4 linked regions of the Arabidopsis thaliana genome follow. The protein of the gene in region 3 interacts with the protein of the main gene of each other region in a pairwise test. Each region holds a gene or a part of one and is shown on either strand. Other genes may lie near its edges. The genes, in order: AT2G39000, MYB39, BPC5 and ABR1.

What was found.
Region 1: the proteins of BPC5 (region 3) and AT2G39000 interact in a two-hybrid assay, tested with the Arabidopsis thaliana proteins (one large-scale study listed by BioGRID).
Region 2: the proteins of BPC5 (region 3) and MYB39 interact in a two-hybrid assay, tested with the Arabidopsis thaliana proteins (one large-scale study listed by BioGRID).
Region 4: the proteins of BPC5 (region 3) and ABR1 interact in a two-hybrid assay, tested with the Arabidopsis thaliana proteins (one large-scale study listed by BioGRID).

What each region holds. Positions count from the first base shown.
Region 1 is NC_003071.7:16,285,707-16,290,218, forward strand, and holds AT2G39000 (Acyl-CoA N-acyltransferases (NAT) superfamily protein), read right to left. Parts: upstream 2,557-4,512; 5' UTR 2,236-2,556; coding exon 2,064-2,235; intron 1,687-2,063; coding exon 1,290-1,686; coding exon of another isoform or gene 1,232-1,289; exon of another isoform or gene 1,059-1,231; coding exon of another isoform or gene 1,055-1,058; coding exon 748-1,054; 3' UTR 519-747; downstream 1-518. UniProt on the Arabidopsis thaliana protein: Protein acetyltransferase with dual specificity triggering both N-alpha-acetylation (NTA), with a large spectrum of modified N-termini, including methionine, alanine, serine, threonine and to a lower extent glycine and valine as substrates, and epsilon-lysine acetylation (KA) of several plastid proteins.
Region 2 is NC_003075.7:9,881,059-9,885,181, reverse strand, and holds MYB39 (myb domain protein 39), read left to right. Parts: upstream 1-1,749; 5' UTR 1,750-1,813; coding exon 1,814-2,079; intron 2,080-2,414; coding exon 2,415-3,194; coding exon of another isoform or gene 3,195-3,198; exon of another isoform or gene 3,199-3,278; coding exon 3,279-3,315; 3' UTR 3,316-3,583; downstream 3,584-4,123. Other genes in the region: AT4G17780 (F-box and associated interaction domains-containing protein), read left to right, coding at 3,727-4,123.
Region 3 is NC_003075.7:18,144,789-18,148,887, forward strand, and holds BPC5 (basic pentacysteine 5), read right to left. Parts: upstream 2,104-4,099; 5' UTR 2,011-2,103; intron 1,656-2,010; 5' UTR 1,642-1,655; coding exon 1,573-1,641; intron 1,476-1,572; exon of another isoform or gene 1,473-1,475; coding exon 690-1,472; 3' UTR 563-689; downstream 1-562. Other genes in the region: AT4G38905 (uncharacterized protein), read right to left, coding at 1-267; VHA-C3 (vacuolar-type H[+]-ATPase C3), read left to right, coding at 2,542-2,617, 3,310-3,595, 3,933-4,065. UniProt on the Arabidopsis thaliana protein: Transcriptional regulator that specifically binds to GA-rich elements (GAGA-repeats) present in regulatory sequences of genes involved in developmental processes.
Region 4 is NC_003076.8:25,889,741-25,894,400, reverse strand, and holds ABR1 (Integrase-type DNA-binding superfamily protein), read right to left. Parts: upstream 2,953-4,660; 5' UTR 2,723-2,952; coding exon 2,284-2,722; intron 1,482-2,283; coding exon 745-1,481; 3' UTR 513-744; downstream 1-512. Other genes in the region: RPN5B (regulatory particle non-ATPase subunit 5B), read left to right, coding at 1-78, 156-374.

The sequences.
Region 1 (4,512 bases), on a different chromosome or scaffold from region 3:
GTAAGTATACTAATCATGCGCCTCATGCCCTACTTGTATATCAGTTTAACTTTTTTAGAAATCATAGAAAACTTTGATGAAATTAACTAACAGTTTGTTTATGTTTGTTGTTGAACAAGGCTCTTATTATCTATTTCGTGAGCTACATAAACAAGATTATCATCAATCTAGCAGTCGACAAAACAGTGATTCCAGACCCTCATGTACTATGTGATGATTTGGTAGAATCGCTCAATATCATCAAACTTGCTGCCTTGCAGAAAGGAGTTCGTAAAATACAAGTTTGAGATATAGAAAATGAAGCTAAGTATGTTCGACAGATAAAATTACATGTTAGTGGCGTCAGAATTTCTTCACACAATAATATGTCCAATGTGTGATATCTTTATGACTTCCATGCCGATTTCTTCTTGTTCCAGTGATATTAATCTTGAGTTTCGAATACGCTATGTAGGTTTAAACTATGGATCTTAATTAGCATAGTGCGACGAATGCGATTTTAGATGTTTTTTTTTATTACATTGGTATATAAATCAAGTATGGCTAAGACTTGGAATGTCTTGAAACATGCTTGCGGGAGAAGCAAAAAGTTCACGGTGCTACAAGACCTTAAAAACTGAAAAAGCGTATTTGGTCGAAATATTATAGACAATAGCATTTACACAAGACTGCAACCATATTTACAATTACATAATCAGAGCTATATTTCAACAACAAACGGAATTCAAATTTCCTTTTTCCTCGGATTTACCGAAACTGTTCAAGAGCTTGTGTATTGTTGTTGTTCACTAGCTTCATCATGAAGGTAAACCTGGTGTCAGGAGATGTCTTCGGTTGAGGCCAAGTCGCTCCTTCAGGGATCTTGATGGATCTGAAACCTTGATCTTTGTAAAGTTTAGTTGCTCCTAAGTTGTTGAGATCACAGTGAAGGCCGATAGCTCTACATCCCCAGTTCTTGGCTAAAGCCTCTGCTTTCCATATGAGTCTCTTGGCTATTCCTTTGCGCCGGAAATTCTCTCGAACTGCCACATTTGATACATAAGCGATCCCGGTCCTGGCTTTAAATTAGGAACACACCATCAAATCATTATAAGACAATAAACGAATCCAGATCCGAGCACAACACATTCCCAACAAAAAATGACAAGATCCTTCTTTCACCAAGATTAGCTAAAGATTGCGAAACTTTATGTTATCCTAGTTGCACATTTTTGAGACTAGGTCCTTAGTCTTAAGAACAGAGGCACAGTGCTTGACGACAGAAATAAAAGCTAAGGCGAAAAGCGAACCTTCTCTGGCGGAGAGGTCCTTTTCTTGGAAGGTAATCAGCCACAGTATCAACAGTCAAGATTCCAGCAACATAACCTTTGTTTAAGCTGATCTTTGCATCAAAAGCTCCAATTTTGAAATCATCACTTCCAAAGCAGATGGTTTCATCTACTGAACTACCTATCACAGCCACTAAACAAGTCCTCTGGCACCCAGGTGGAATAGAAAATCCCATCACCATTGCCATTAACCTATCTACTCTTAGAACAACATCAAGCGGGAACGAATATCCCGGGAAGAAAGAGCTGCAATGAGTCTCTGCCACCTCCCAACAGTCCTCTAACCGTGCTTCACGAACAACGATTTCAGGTGAAACCGCTGGAAAAAGATCAACTATTTGACTTGCATTGCAAGCTCCTACATACAAAGATAACAAATATATTCATCAAAGAACAAATTTATCACCCATTGATAGAAGCAACAACTATGTTCACACTTTTCTTCTGTAACCAGAATCTCAAACCCGGTGAAAACTCTAAACTATTCCTAAAAGACTCAGTGACAAGAGGTCCTCAGGTTTAATAAAACAACTGATTTGCTGAAATCATGCAAAAGCCTGAAAATTTAAAGCTTCATGAAGCAAACATGCGCAATCAATTGTTTCGTTGAAAAATGAGTTAAAATTGAATCTTTCAATCAGGCATGGTCAATTACACTAGAGAGCATCTAACTGAATTCATCTGGGGATGGCTTAAGAATTGGAACTCGATCTAAATCATAGCTCATCATCAAACCTGAGTTGATTTGTGAAGGAGCTTGAGAGATAGAAAACGACGAGTGGCGTCTCCGACGATGGATAGAGAAATTAGAGACTCCTGAAGAGGAAACGAAGCGGCCATACCCATAAGAGTTGTGTTTGATTGAAGCTGGTGAAACCGCCGTCGTCCCCAACGGTGTGCTCCGCATCTTTCTCCGTTCGCCGTGCCTTTTCTGCTTCTCTAGCTATCTTTATTTCTTACCCAACACAAACGATTTTAACAACAAACCGGCCGGTTCGACCGGTCAAATCGCACCAATCACGATTTTAATAAAGAACCAGCAGGATTATCCTAAGTCACTATTCACTAATAGTAATCTTTTTATTTAATAATTCGCGTTAGGGAAATAAACTCTTTTTTTTTCCCACCAATTCACACGTTTTTTTTACCCCACCAATCCACATTGCCAAAACGTCTAGAATCAAATTTGCTCTTTCTTTTTTCAAAAGTTTGTAGCTACTGTTATGCCAAAAAAAAAATCTGTAGTGAAATGGTTTGGCAACCAAAACAAGAAAAGAGATGAACACTATCCACACCGCATCATCCGTCTTCATAAACAACATCATTATCATACCATAAACATCATCCCCAATCCCCATCTTCATACAAGCATCATCATCATTATCAACATTATATAACATCAGCATATGTCACCATCATCACCATATGACCACCACCATCATCAACATCATCCATCATCATCTTCACCCACCGCATTCATCATCATCATCTTCATCATATTATACCATTACCATTCATCATTCCACAAAAAAAAAATGCTTCGTATTTGAACTTTACGAAGACTACTGTTATCAGTTTATTGTAAGTTTACTTATCTATGTTTTGTATTTGGATTTTCATAAACACACCAATGTGACGTAGAAATCTGATTTGCATGATTTGTATTTGGATTTAATCCGCTAATTTTTTTAGCTATTTAACTATTTTCATCATAAATTACAATTTATTTTCTTATAAATTTCCTTAAAATCAGTACTTATTCCACCATATTATGCAATTTTCTTATAAATTTAAATTTACATGTAGAAAATAAAACAAATAAGCTAAGCGCGTTTATATTTTTTTTACGAATTCAAAACATCCAAATTCAAAAACGAATATAACTTTTTCCCTTTAGTCGACACTAAACTCATCACAAATTTGAAATAGTAGGAGACCATCCTTAAATCCCAAACAAAAATACTTTATATTGATGTCGCTTGAATTGTCAAAACTTCCATCTAAATAATGAGAAAGAAACAAACTACAGGAAAGAAATTTCAGTGAAAAGTTGACGTGGACAAGTTAGATTTCGAAGTTCTGATCTAATCCAATGATATTTGGTGAGCCACAAAACCATTATCCAAAAAGACAATGTACATTCCGACCCAACCACAAGCTCATCACGATCCACAAATGTCGCCACGTCTCTCGCCGACATCATAGAAGTGTACTAACCGTGTGGTGTCCAGATGCCATGTCTCCTGCTTAGAAGTTTCCGCGACAGAAGATTCACTTCTTCATCTTTTTAAAAAAAAATGCAGAATCATTTTCGATATCTTACATGGGTCACTTTTTAATAGTTATTGTTCTGTTACTTTTTTTTTCCTTACATTAATTAATACTTTATCGAATGTTTGTTTAAGCCGTTTTGGGTAAGCTATTTGTTATGAACAATAAAGTTGTCGGAACAAAGAATGGAGAACCTTAAATGAAGCCTTTGTATTTCACGCAATTGTTTTTTACTTTTAAGCAGCCCTATACCAATTTTTTCACGTGTTTTAAACATTCTTGTTTATAGTAACAATTTGAGTCTTTTTGCTTCTTCTTTTTTAATTACAGCACGTATTAGCAGCAAAATGATATTATTGACTTATAGTCATGTGACTCATGTAAAAAATAAAAATTCAAAACAAGAAGATGTTATAAAAATATGGATGAAGATGAATTGTATACATAGAATTAATATTACAATGAATCCGAATGTGTTTAGATAAGTTGTAAATTACAAAATTGCGTAGAAAAAAAAAAAATGTTTTGCTATCAGTATATCCGTAATACTTTTTATGAACGGTCCCATCTCTAGGAAAAATGAGTAATATAATTCATGAAGCAATTCATTTTCATTTTATTTACAGAAAAAAATAATGGTCGTCGCTCGATTATTAAGTGGGACATTTGTTTTTTTTTTTGGTATTATTAAGTGATGCATCATCTGTTGTAGTCTTGTAGAACTCTATAATCCGCCAAATGCTTCGCTTCAAATATATTCTTGTATTTATCTTGGTGTCCAATCCTACTCTGCCATGGACGGGCCTAGCTACGTAAATTAGATGGGTCTACCACGGACACCACGTGGACAAGATTTAATGTTCATGGTTCATGGAGGTCGATCGTCTTCCCAAAAAAACAGTCATTTGATCCT
Region 2 (4,123 bases), 8.3 Mb from region 3:
CGTAAGCCGCGTAACAATAACATTACATAGAATTTTAAGGCTTGTCTTATCTATACTCGTTGACAATGTCAAATAAATATAGCATAGGAATTTTATACTATATGGTGCTACTAATTACATGGAACCCTTAATATATACGACTGTTTAAATAGTCAACGTGATAAATAGAGAGTTGGTAAGTGTTTGGTTTTAATTTGACAATGTGAAACAAGCCTGAACATTGACCCTTTAAACCATAACAGTAATTTAACGGTAAAAAAATAGTAATTAAGTATGTAAACAAGATCTTCCGTGAGAGTGAAATTAAACCTCATTATTTAAATTATACTAGTAAACATTTTCTCCAACCGTAGGAAATTTCGTTTTATGTTTTTTTTCTAATTTGTCGTGATCCTTCTCATTCCTTTGAAGACAACAAGATTCTATTATGAAAGATTTTTTCAAAGATCCAATAGTATAATACAACGTAATATATAATACCAACTTTATAGTTACACCTTCTAATAAAATCCACTTACTCGTTTATGTGTTCCTCACGCTATCGACTTAATGTTTGGAACCCGCGAGAGAAGTTCTTTAATTAAATTAGTCAATCGAAAAAAGCTATCCATTTCCTTTATCAAAGTAAATCAATTCGAAAATCTCGTATTAACTTGATCATCCAAATCCATATGTATATTTTCGAATAATATAAAACAGAAATTGAGATAACCTATACTAAAGAGAGTTTCACGTAAAAAATTTATATTTTCACGTAACAAAAAATTACAAAACAATTAAACAAAAAACAAATGATAATAGCATAGGTAATTTTTTGTGACTTGAAATTCAGAACGTATGGTAGGCACAAACGACGGTTTGGTAACAATAAGGAGAATAATAATAATCTTCGTTTGAATTCAAATAGAGGAAGAAGAAGCGAAAGGGTAGGCTTTGATCAACCATGAGACATTGAAGCAGGTAGAGATAATTCTTTGAATGCGGTGGAAGCAATCACATAATGATAAATGCAAGATTCCAATTTTGATGAACTTTGCAATGAGAACATAATATTGCTTTTCAATTAAATATTAGTTAAATATACCCTTCAAGAAAAGTAGTTAACAAGTTTAATTTATAATCATGCATTTATGCGAAATTCTTATTTGTAGGTTTTAATCTAAATAGAGAAATATACACATATATAGGAAATATTCAAAAATGATCACATGCATGTTTAATTTTTGAAAAATGTGGCTTTCTTTTATAACATAATTTCAATAAGATTAGTTTGAATTGCAGATTATGAAATAGTATATAATTTGTGATTGTTTTACAAGTAAAAGAGCGTAAGAAATTTGGTCCCAAAAAAAAAAGATTTTAGTAGGGAAATATCAACATTTTATTCTAACATAGCTAGGGCAAATATTTTATACATCTAACCCACAATAACAAAATCCATTAATGCATTAACAATTATTCGTATTCTTTTATATAAAAATTATTTGTTTGAACATCATCCCCACGAATTACTCTTCGAAGTTCGAACGCCATGACACATATCATATTATCAGTACCTAATCTTGATTTTGTTATAACTATTTTGGTTATTTAACTGATTTATTGAATGACTCATATATTGTAGACTTATGACACACTATGAAAAATAATATTTACACCAAATTCTGACGAATGCATACACAACTTTACTTTAGTTATGTCATGACTGCTTTTCACATCTATATATACATACAAACCTAATCGTAGGGAGCGACGAAACGAAGATCATATCTTCAAAAACCTCTGATAAGTTTTGGTTCTTGATATAAACAAAATGGGAAGATCACCGTGTTGCGATCAAGACAAAGGCGTGAAGAAAGGACCGTGGCTGCCAGAAGAAGATGATAAGCTCACTGCTTATATAAACGAGAATGGTTATGGGAATTGGCGGTCGCTTCCTAAGCTCGCTGGACTTAACCGCTGTGGCAAGAGCTGTCGGCTCCGGTGGATGAATTATCTCCGGCCTGATATCCGGAGAGGCAAATTTTCCGATGGAGAAGAGAGTACTATCGTTAGACTCCATGCCCTCCTTGGCAACAAGTAAGACTATTTTTTTTTCGTTAAAGCTTTTATGCTATTTTGTTAGCACTAAATGATTTAGGTCTCGCTTGTTTCAGACGTAATTATGTGTTCCTGTTTACATGTTTTTTTCATAATTTTAAAATATAAACCATTTTCAGTTCTTTTAAAATTAATATAAAGTGCAAAAACAAATTTACGTATGGATACCATTGCATAGTTTATTATTGCTATTATAGAATTCACATCCTCAAGACTATAGTCTAAACTTTAGTTTATAATTCTCTAACCATACAAAAGGTTAAGTTTTCGTTGGTTCATTTTACTAACGTTTGAGTCGAATTTTTACCATACAGATGGTCGAAAATTGCGGGTCATCTTCCAGGAAGAACAGATAATGAAATTAAAAACTATTGGAACACTCATATGAGGAAGAAGTTATTGCAAATGGGGATTGATCCAGTGACGCACGAGCCAAGAACCAACGATCTTAGCCCTATCCTCGATGTTTCTCAAATGCTCGCGGCAGCAATCAACAATGGCCAATTTGGTAACAATAACCTCCTCAACAATAACACCGCTTTGGAAGATATTCTTAAACTCCAATTGATCCATAAAATGCTTCAAATCATAACCCCCAAAGCCATACCAAACATCAGTAGCTTCAAGACCAATTTACTGAATCCTAAACCAGAACCGGTAGTCAATAGCTTCAATACCAATTCAGTGAATCCTAAACCGGATCCCCCGGCTGGTCTTTTCATAAACCAAAGTGGAATCACTCCTGAGGCCGCCTCGGATTTCATTCCATCTTATGAAAATGTTTGGGATGGTTTTGAAGATAACCAGCTTCCTGGTTTGGTTACGGTTTCTCAAGAGAGTTTAAATACAGCAAAACCGGGTACCAGTACGACCACCAAGGTAAATGATCATATCAGAACCGGTATGATGCCGTGTTACTATGGTGATCAACTACTAGAAACCCCATCTACTGGTTCGGTATCGGTCTCTCCCGAGACAACCAGTTTGAACCATCCCAGTACAGCTCAACACTCATCCGGTTCAGATTTCCTAGAGGACTGGGAGAAGTTTCTTGATGATGAAACAAGTGATTCTTGCTGGAAAAGTTTCTTAGAGTAAGATCTATCTCCGCATTGATTAACATAGTATATGATTTATATTTATGGTTTATTAACAGAATTGTTTTATCTAATCTGCAGCTTAACGTCACCCACATCGTCACCTGTCCCATGGTAGAACTGGATTTTGTTCGGGTCGTATACTCATAGTTTTAAAGACAATACATACACAAAGATATTCGATTAATACTCTTAATTTTGTTTGTTATTAAATATTGATTTAAAGTTTGTATATTTTCTTGTAAAGGAATTCTTATTTGTAATTTGTTCTTATTTGGTTTGGTTGTTGTGTAAAGAAACACATTGTAATCACCATTCTATTATTGCCCATTTAATAACAATATTTTGGATAAATATCTACGAGCAGTCTAATTTATACAATCAAACAACTCTATGGAAACATAACTTGATTCACAAGTTTAATAAAAATTCACCTATTTGCCAATAAGGAAATATATTAAAATGTCAATCTCTCGATGTTTCTAACAGAAAGATTGACAAAAAATCAAAAAACAAACAGTCACCAAGAATGGAGGAAGAAGAGAAAAACCCTAGTTCGATCTACATAGTTGCCGATCTTCTAGAAGATATATTCCTTCGACTTCCCTTGAAATCCATTCTCATATCGAAAAGCGTCTCAAAACGATGGAGATCAATTCTTGAGTCGAAGACGTTCGTGGAGAGACGAATGAGTCTTCAAAAGAAGCGCAAAATCCTGGCTGCTTACAACTGCAAATGCGGCTGGGAGCCTAGGCTCCTCCCCGGGTCGTCGCAGTGCAAAGGGAACGAAGAGATCGTCTATCTGCACTGCAACGCCGCACAACCCTCGTTTACTTGCGACGGTTTGGTCTGCATTCTCGAACCACGTTGGATAGACGTTTTGAACCCCTGGACAAGGCAACTCCGGCGATACGGATTCGGATTTG
Region 3 (4,099 bases):
ACCGAGACCTAGCCAGATGAGAATAGGAAGAATGATCAGGGACAAGGCGTAGTAGATGATCCATTGGAATCCGCTATGGTTCTTGCCGTTTAATGTCCATTCAAAAGCAAAAGCAATTCCGGAGAAAAATGTGGCAAAACTGCCTATAAAAAAGATTCTAACGATTCTCGGGTTAGGAACGTCGAAAAATGTCTTGATGTGGTTAAGCCAACGCTTTGGTGGTTGCGGTGGTGGACTAGTGTTGGTGGTCTTTAGCTTTTGGTCCATGCTTTTTTTTCTTTTCTTTAAGTGGAACTTTGAGAGTAAGCTTGAGATGAAGAGACTACATAAGTCGTTGAAGCTTGACTCTAATATAAGGAGATTATTAAATTTTTTTCCTTTTTATTTGTTGAAGTTGTTCAAATTCTTGCGATTTAATGGGTGAGATTTCGAATTTTGAAATTACAATAATACAAAGTAGATGATAATGTAACTATTTACATAAAACAACAAAACCAAGTCAAAACAGTACTACTAGATATTTGCCTTTTAACGGAACTATCGACAGTAAAAACAATAACGAGCCTAACTTCATCTTTCATTCGACTTTTGATCCTAATTGTTAAATCTAAAGCGACAAAAAAAAAATCAAAAGGGATGACGAGAGAGCAATACTTGATATATAGTGGCTACTGGCTCATAAATCTTGGTTACTTGATAGTGATGTAGCGGTTGGTGCCGTGCCTAGCCCAATAGTTCTTGAGATCAACCGGAGAGGAAAGCTCATGCCCTTCACCAGCTAAACGACTAAGTAACCTGGAGAAGACACTTCCACTCATTTTCCTGCCGCCAACTCGGGAATGCCGCTTGTTTGGCATCTGCGGGAGCGGATACTCAGACAAAGTGGTTGTGCAGCAAGATGATTGCCAGCCGCCATTGCCCCACTTATAACACTGACGAGCAGTCCCGGTGCAAGTGCACATGGGCACTGGCATTGTCATCTCATCGAACGTGACTAGGACATCGTTACTGTCCCAATCCTTTCTGCTTTTCTTTCCGGGAGAAGCAACTGGACGGTTCAGATCCTCGCCCATTTTCTTTCCCTGCTTGCTCTCTTTCTTCCTTTTGGTCGGTCTCGTGTTGGCTGCTTCAGGTGGAATAGTTGATATAGGGGAAGGATTAGGTAAGTGGCTTTCTTCAGTTATAAACCTTTGGGAACCACCGCGCTTGGCACACGACAAAATGTAGTTAAGATTGTTTTCACGGTATCGAAGAGCATTTAACGCACTTTCTGTCTCCATGATAGCATTATCTCTTTCAGAGAGAGCTTTGTCCCGCTGCTCAAGTGCTTCATCACGAGAGGCTAATGCTTCCTTAGTTGCTGCAACCGCTTCGTTTCTTTCCTTGACAGCTGCGTCCCTCTCAGCAAGGATGGAGATGATCTTCTTATTCATCACCAATGCATTATGTTGCTCCTTTTTCGGCATCACATTCTACTGCACACACACACAGTTTGTACTTAGGTTTCATTCAAAGTAACGAAAACATGTTTTTTTGTTTTAGTGATCTGCTTCTTCAAGTGTTTTTGCTTACCACAGATTGTGTTCCTTTGTAGTAATCGGGCTTGTAGCGCCCATTTTCATACTGCCCACCACTCTCCATCCTCTTACTTTCAACTGCAATGGAGAAATTGATATCAAACATTGTGAAACTAGGCTGACGAGTAACTAAAAACAGAAATACTCCAAATCATAAGCAGTTCCATAACATACATTTAACCCAAATAAATCGAGAAATCGTATCATATCCCACAAGTCAGCGTAATACCATCCAAACCAAACGATGAAGAAAACAATGGAGCAAGTAAGATACGCGGGAACATATATAGAGTTCGAATTTCAAGTTAAAGCAACGACGAGAGAGCTCCCAGAAGAACCAAAATTCGAAGAAAATGAAAATTGTAGAGAGAAAAACTTGGCATGCTGAAATTAACAGATAGGTCAAGAACACGATTAACGATCGAAGACTTACGGATTTCAACGAGCCTTCAGGAGAAACAAGCAACGGAAATCGAGAAAGATCTGAGGATACTTGGAAATGGTGTCTGTGTAATGTGGCAAGAAGTGGAAGACGAGCCAGGTACTCTCGGTTCAATTTACTAATATACCCTTGTCTTAAAACTGCTAAACGAGAGCAAGCAAGAAGGTTATTATTGTCTATCCATCTTACTCGTAAAAATGCAAAGACGTTTCTGTTTCAATCTCTCCAAATATAAGCCAAACAGGATATGATTTTGGTTCTGGTGGATCATTCTAGTGGGCCGTATGATGGGCCTAAGAATAAGGCAACTAATCTGGGTCGAATACGGGTAGACCCGGGTTGAGATCCCGACGTGTGCGCTTCGCTGTTGTAGTAGTAGTATATCTCATCATCAATCAGGCTTTTGAGCCTCGGAAACTCAATCCTTGTATATTCAACGGAGAGAGATCTGCGAGAGAAAGAGAGATCAGATTCCGGTGTTCCAAGGAAGCACATATTTTAAGATCCAGAATCGCCTGAGAGATGTCTACCTTCAGTGGCGATGAGACCGCTCCTTTCTTCGGCTTCCTTGGCGCTGCCGCTGCGCTCGTCTTCTCATGTATATCCATCTATACTCTCTTATAATCTCCATCTTCTTCTTTTCTCTTTGGTTCTGAATTGTTCACTGATCTTGTGTGTGTTTGTTGTTCTCATGATCTCCCTCAAAGTTGCTTTTGTGCTTTAGATCGGCCCTGAGAAGTTCACCGATCTGTGTGTTGCTCATGATTTTTCTTAGAAATTTCTCTCTAGATTTGTTTAGGCTAAGCGATATCACTGAACTATTATATGTCTCTCCTTTTCGAAAATTCTAGTTTATTATCTTTAGTCAGTGGATCAAATTCTTATGGAACTGCTCTACGCTGGTTTTAAATCCTTTTTCTTTGTCTTTTCTCCATTGGTGATGTAGTCTAGGCTGATCTTCTAGAAACTAAGACTTTTTGGCTTAGATCTGTATGTGTTGAATTTCTTGGTGTCCCCGACAAAAAAAAAAGAATTTCTTGGTGTCCTGTTCTTTGTCCAACATATCGAAATTACCTAGGGAAATTTGCTGGAGTTGCCAGGTTTTGTGATTGCTGTGACTGGTACTAATTGCATAAGTACAGATTTACCGTTGTTACCATCAAAATTGCTGAGTTGCTTTCATCTATGTCAATTATGCTTTTTCTTCATATCGAAGGCATGTTGATTACTTGTGTAAACCATAGTTAGATTGTGACCTTAAAGAGTGTGTATCTTTGTGTTATTAACAAGGTATGGGAGCTGCGTACGGGACAGCAAAGAGTGGTGTGGGAGTGGCATCTATGGGTGTGATGAGGCCGGAGTTGGTGATGAAGTCTATTGTCCCAGTTGTTATGGCTGGTGTGTTGGGTATCTATGGTTTGATTATTGCTGTTATCATCAGTACCGGGATTAACCCCAAGGCTAAATCCTACTACCTCTTCGACGGATATGCTCATCTCTCTTCTGGTCTTGCTTGTGGGCTAGCTGGTCTTTCAGCTGGAATGGCCATAGGTATCGTTGGCGATGCTGGTGTCAGGTACGATCCTCTGTGTCCTTCTTTGCAGATTCACTCTTATAGCCTAATTTGCTAAAAGACTCAATTTTATACAAGTATATCTCCCTTATGAATCAGAATATCATGAGTTTAGTGTCACAATTCAACTTGATGAAAATTTGGTAGGGAATATGTGCAATTCACTGACTGTTGAATCTATAATGGAAGAAATATCAGTTCATTACATGCTTCTGTGAGATGTCTTGTGCCATGGCGTATTTCTCTAGGATGAAATATAATGGAAGAAATATCAATTCAATTGTGAGTGTCTATCCCCTGTTATATCATTTTGATACGCAAATTTGTGGTTTGATGACAGGGCCAATGCTCAACAGCCAAAGCTTTTCGTTGGTATGATTCTTATCCTCATTTTCGCTGAAGCTCTTGCTCTATACGGTCTCATCGTCGGGATCATTTTGTCCTCCCGAGCTGGTCAGTCCAGAGCCGAATGAGAAAAGAGTGCGGTTCTTGAAGTCCGCATGATTC
Region 4 (4,660 bases), on a different chromosome or scaffold from region 3:
AATATTCTCGTTGTCTCAAAGTACTACTCAAGGATTACCTTTAAGAGACTTGCAGAACTTTTATGCCTAACCACTGAGGTAAATATAGTTTCAAAATACTCTTAAGTGTACCAGTACATGTTTAAATCTCTTCTTACCGTTTCATTATATTTCAGGAAGCAGAGAAGCATCTATCTGAAATGGTTGTGTCCAAAGCCTTGATAGCAAAAATCGACAGACCATCAGGAATAATCTGCTTCCAGATTGTTAAAGACAGCAACGAAATCCTCAACTCGTGGGCAACAAACTTGGAGAAGCTTTTGGATCTTGTTGAAAAGAGTTGTCACCAAATTCACAAAGAAACAATGGTTCATAAAGTTGCACTAAGAGCTTGAGAACCCGGTCTAGCCACACACATCGGTGGAAAGAATCTTTCAGGCTCTCGTTCTAACATAATCATTTGAGTTTTCTTTCTCTGCTTGGTTCGAACACATTTTTTTTGTGTTCTTTAGGAGACCTTGCAAGATTATATACAAAACTCTCTTTTTTTTCCTTTCTCCATGTGGTCTTTTTAATGTTTGTTACAATGAAACGAAATTATAATGCAAAAATATAATAAATTAAGAAAAAAAGCATGAGAGGATGAAAGCAGAACAATACAAACAACCTAAACCCTATAATATTTGGAAAAATAACTCTATAACATATAATCATTTTCCTGTTTTCTATTACTCTATAGTGAAACAAATAAAATGAAGCAAGTCATCAGGAGGATGGACTATTATTGTAGTTATTACTAGTCTTGTCTGATGGCCATTGTATATCCTGGAGATAACCGGTTTCGCTAGCTGATTCTGGTGGCGGCTGAACAGCAGCCGGGGAAAACAGAGGACGAGAATGAGATGATGATGACGACGTAGATTGCATCATTGAACCTCCAGTGTGACCGAAACGCAACGGAAACGACATTTGATCGTATAAATCCAAAGATTGTTGATGATGTTGCTGAAACTGTTGTTGTTGACGAGCCATTTCAGAGTAACTCAAGTTGTATGATTGCATCAACGGCTGCGAATGAACGCTTTGATTCGAAGCAGGTCTTATGGGCAAAAGGGTAGTCGTTGAACCCGAGTTCCTTGACTGGGTCGGTCTTTGAGCAGCGGTTTGGTGCACAGGTTGTGCTTCGGTTGAAGCAGGTCTAACGAGTTTGACGTTTTCAGGGAAGTTGAGTTTGGCTTTGTTGCCTCTAAACCGAAGTGCAGCTTCGTCGTAAGCTCTTGCTGCTGATTCAGCATTGTCGAACGTACCGAGCCAAACTCTAGCTGCTTTAAATGGATCTCGAATCTCAGCCGCCCACTTTCCCCATGGTCTTTGTCTAACTCCTCTGTATCTTCGCCGAGGTTGGTCCCCACTAAACGACGACGTTTCGCTACTAGCAGTTGCCGTAGTTGTATACTCGTATGTTGGGCCCGGACCTGACATGTTACTCGAAGCTTCTCTCACTGCAAATAAACAAACAAACATGTAAAATTTCACACTTTTGTTGTCACTCGTGAATTAACACTTTCTTACATAAGAAAAAGAATCGATAATATTAATGTCTCCAATAAAGATATTATAAAGTTTTTTTTTTAAGAGCGAGTATGAGAAAGTGATGAGGCAAATGGGTGACAAAAGGAATGAACAAGTAGAAAAAAAAAGGAAGTGGAAAACGACTCTTGATGCAATTGGAGGGAGATAAATTCTTTTGGCATATCATCATCATCATCATCATTTTCTTAATTAAATATCCAACCTTTTTACAACAATTCTAAAGTATATGTCTTAAGATAATCAAGTACAGTTTCGTTATTATATTTATTTTTGTCAACACTTCGAAATATTTATTTACATCTTTACGCTAATTACTATTTTTTATTCCTCATTTTTCTTTATATTTAAATTATTATAAAGTATATCTAACTTCGCCATATTTTAGAAAACGATAAAAGAAAAGAATAAAAAAACTAAATATAAGACATGTTGCTTTGTAGATTGCGTGAGGACAACAAAAGTGCAACTGTATTTAGATTTTGTGTTACAAACATTTGATGTGACTCATACCTTGATGTATATACTACATCATAAAATTATTGAAAACATTTATCAAATAGAATGATCTTATAATTTAAATGTTTTATGTTTTGTGGATACACAACCGAAATATGTAAAATTTTATCAAAATGGTGTGTACTAATGTGGTTTAAATCCGAAACAGGGTACGTGTGTTTATAGAGGACAAAATAAAAACCCAACAAAACTAACCTTTAGAAGTAGAGCTACCACCGGAGAAATATTGATCAACCGTCAAAGTATTAGCTGCCTTAACCGCTTTGGCGCCACCTTCCTCCACCTCTCTCCTCCTTTTCTGCCCCGAGGAAGAAGACGAATTCGAAGTCCCTTCTCCGCTACCTTCACCGCCTCCTTGTTGATGCTGAGGAACATTTCCAGCAACAACGTGAGTCAAAGCAGAGACAATAGCAGACATCTCCATCTCTCTACTGAAACCTGAGATAAGAGATGAGGACGACGACGATGGAGGCGGCTGCTGCGTAGGGAAGCTATGACGGTGGTGGTCGTCTTCGGCTGCGAATAAGTAAAGCCATTGATCGATTTCAGATAACGTCCGATGATCATCGTCTCTAATAGACTCGGCTTTTTTGCCAACGTTATCTTCCTGATTTGCCACTTTTAAGACACACATACAAAACCCTCCTTCTAAATCCTCCTCCTCTGAAACTTAAAGCTTATAAACGCAGAGAAAATTAAATTTAAAAATATTCTTTTTCTTCGAGGGAAAGAAAACTCTGTAGAGAGAGAGAGAGAGAAACAAGAAACAGAGACAAAGAGGAAGAAAGAAAGACAGAGATTTTAGAAGATGTGTTTTTTAAGACAAAGGACGAGGTTTAGCTGATAGATATACAAATTTAATTTTCTTGTGTTAATTACTTTGTATGGTTTCAGCGCCGCCAAATGAAAATGAGTCGGCTTCTCTCTGTACCCGTGTGAACTGGAAACACGCAGTTTTTTTTTTAATAACTAATGTTTATATATATATATATATATATATAATATAGCAAATAGCTATTTTTATAAATTTGATCTATAACAGAAGAAAATTTGGTTTTGATGATTTAACTCAATTTGAACAAATTTTGTAAAAAATTGGGTCCTATTATATGAAACGTATCTGAATCTTTTCGCAACTTGTGAGTAATTATATATTTTTGTAAATATACTATATGCGACCTATACTCTATGAACAGTTCTGAAGAATACTTTAACAAGTCTAGTAAATTAAATAAATAAGGTAATGAATTAATTATGTATATTAGCTCTGTGTCATAAGACAACTTGCATAGTAAAAACTTTAAGAAGTTATAAACACTGTTAAAATATGGAGGCATTCAGAAACGATTATTAATTACTATATTTACGGTTCGGTGCTGAAAAAGAGGTAAAACCATTAAATGGAATATTTATAAAATAAGATTATTTTTGCATTTTGTCTAAACGGTGAGCTTGAAGGTCAAGTTGAGAGACGAGCCGTTCCGTACGAATGCGCGTGTGTTGCACGTGTCGGTTCTGGTCGACGTCAGATGCTCCGTTTGTGGACGGTGTCGGTGATGGTAAGGCTAATGCTCGTGACCGTTTGGGCCTCACCCTACGGCCCACTTGTTTCAACCTTCGTCTCTTATCTTTGACCGTTTGACCCACACCTTGTATTATTTTCTTCGTTTTCGATTTTTCAGAAGAAAATAATAGAAACGCATTGTTCAGAAGAAAATAGAAAAAAAATAGAAACGCATTGTTCAGAAGAAAATATGATTTTAGGATTTGTGATGTGTTTTTCTTTTAACTATAAGAGTTGTTTTCTTATTCGCCCGAATCGAGTCTAATAGAGGCTGCACAAAAACTTTTTGGTTAAGAAAAACATATTGTTGTCCATATTTGCAATTAAGCTCAGGATGGTTCAGATTTCAGAACTTGCAGATATGTACTCGTAGATTCTAGTCTGAACGCAGAATAATTATTATATTGATATCTTTTGGATTTTCTATTATTTTTTGGTTGAGAGTTAACTTGAGGATAATCTCGAAACGCATCGTTGGACTTTTGTTTTTAACCAATCTAAGCAATTGTGCTCACAAGTTGACGTAGTTGTTATTTTTACCTGTTATACACGAGACATTTTCGTATTGTTAAAAAGTCGCAGATTTAACGAAGCTAATAATACATAATTTGCAAAGATGGGAGAAAAAAAAACGATTGTTATTGATGTGACATTTTTCTTAGGCTGATGCTCAAGTCTCTATTAACTAATTAATTAGTCAGTGCGACAGTTTATTTTCTTAAAGAAGCTGAACAAAAATATTGTACGACAGTATAATTAATCTGGATAAACCACGACAAAAAAAAAAAAAAAACTGGATAAACCTTTTCACCGGTCATTTCCCTTTTTAGAAACTAAGATGCCCTGTTTTATACTAATCCAGTTTAATTATATTCCACTAAAACATACAGTAGCTTTTAATCACTTAGGCGATAAAAATACCTAAATATGTCTATCAAATAAAAATTAGTAGTAAAATAAAACAAATTTAGAGATCGAGTCTTCAAAGATCAATCCAAATACGGAAAC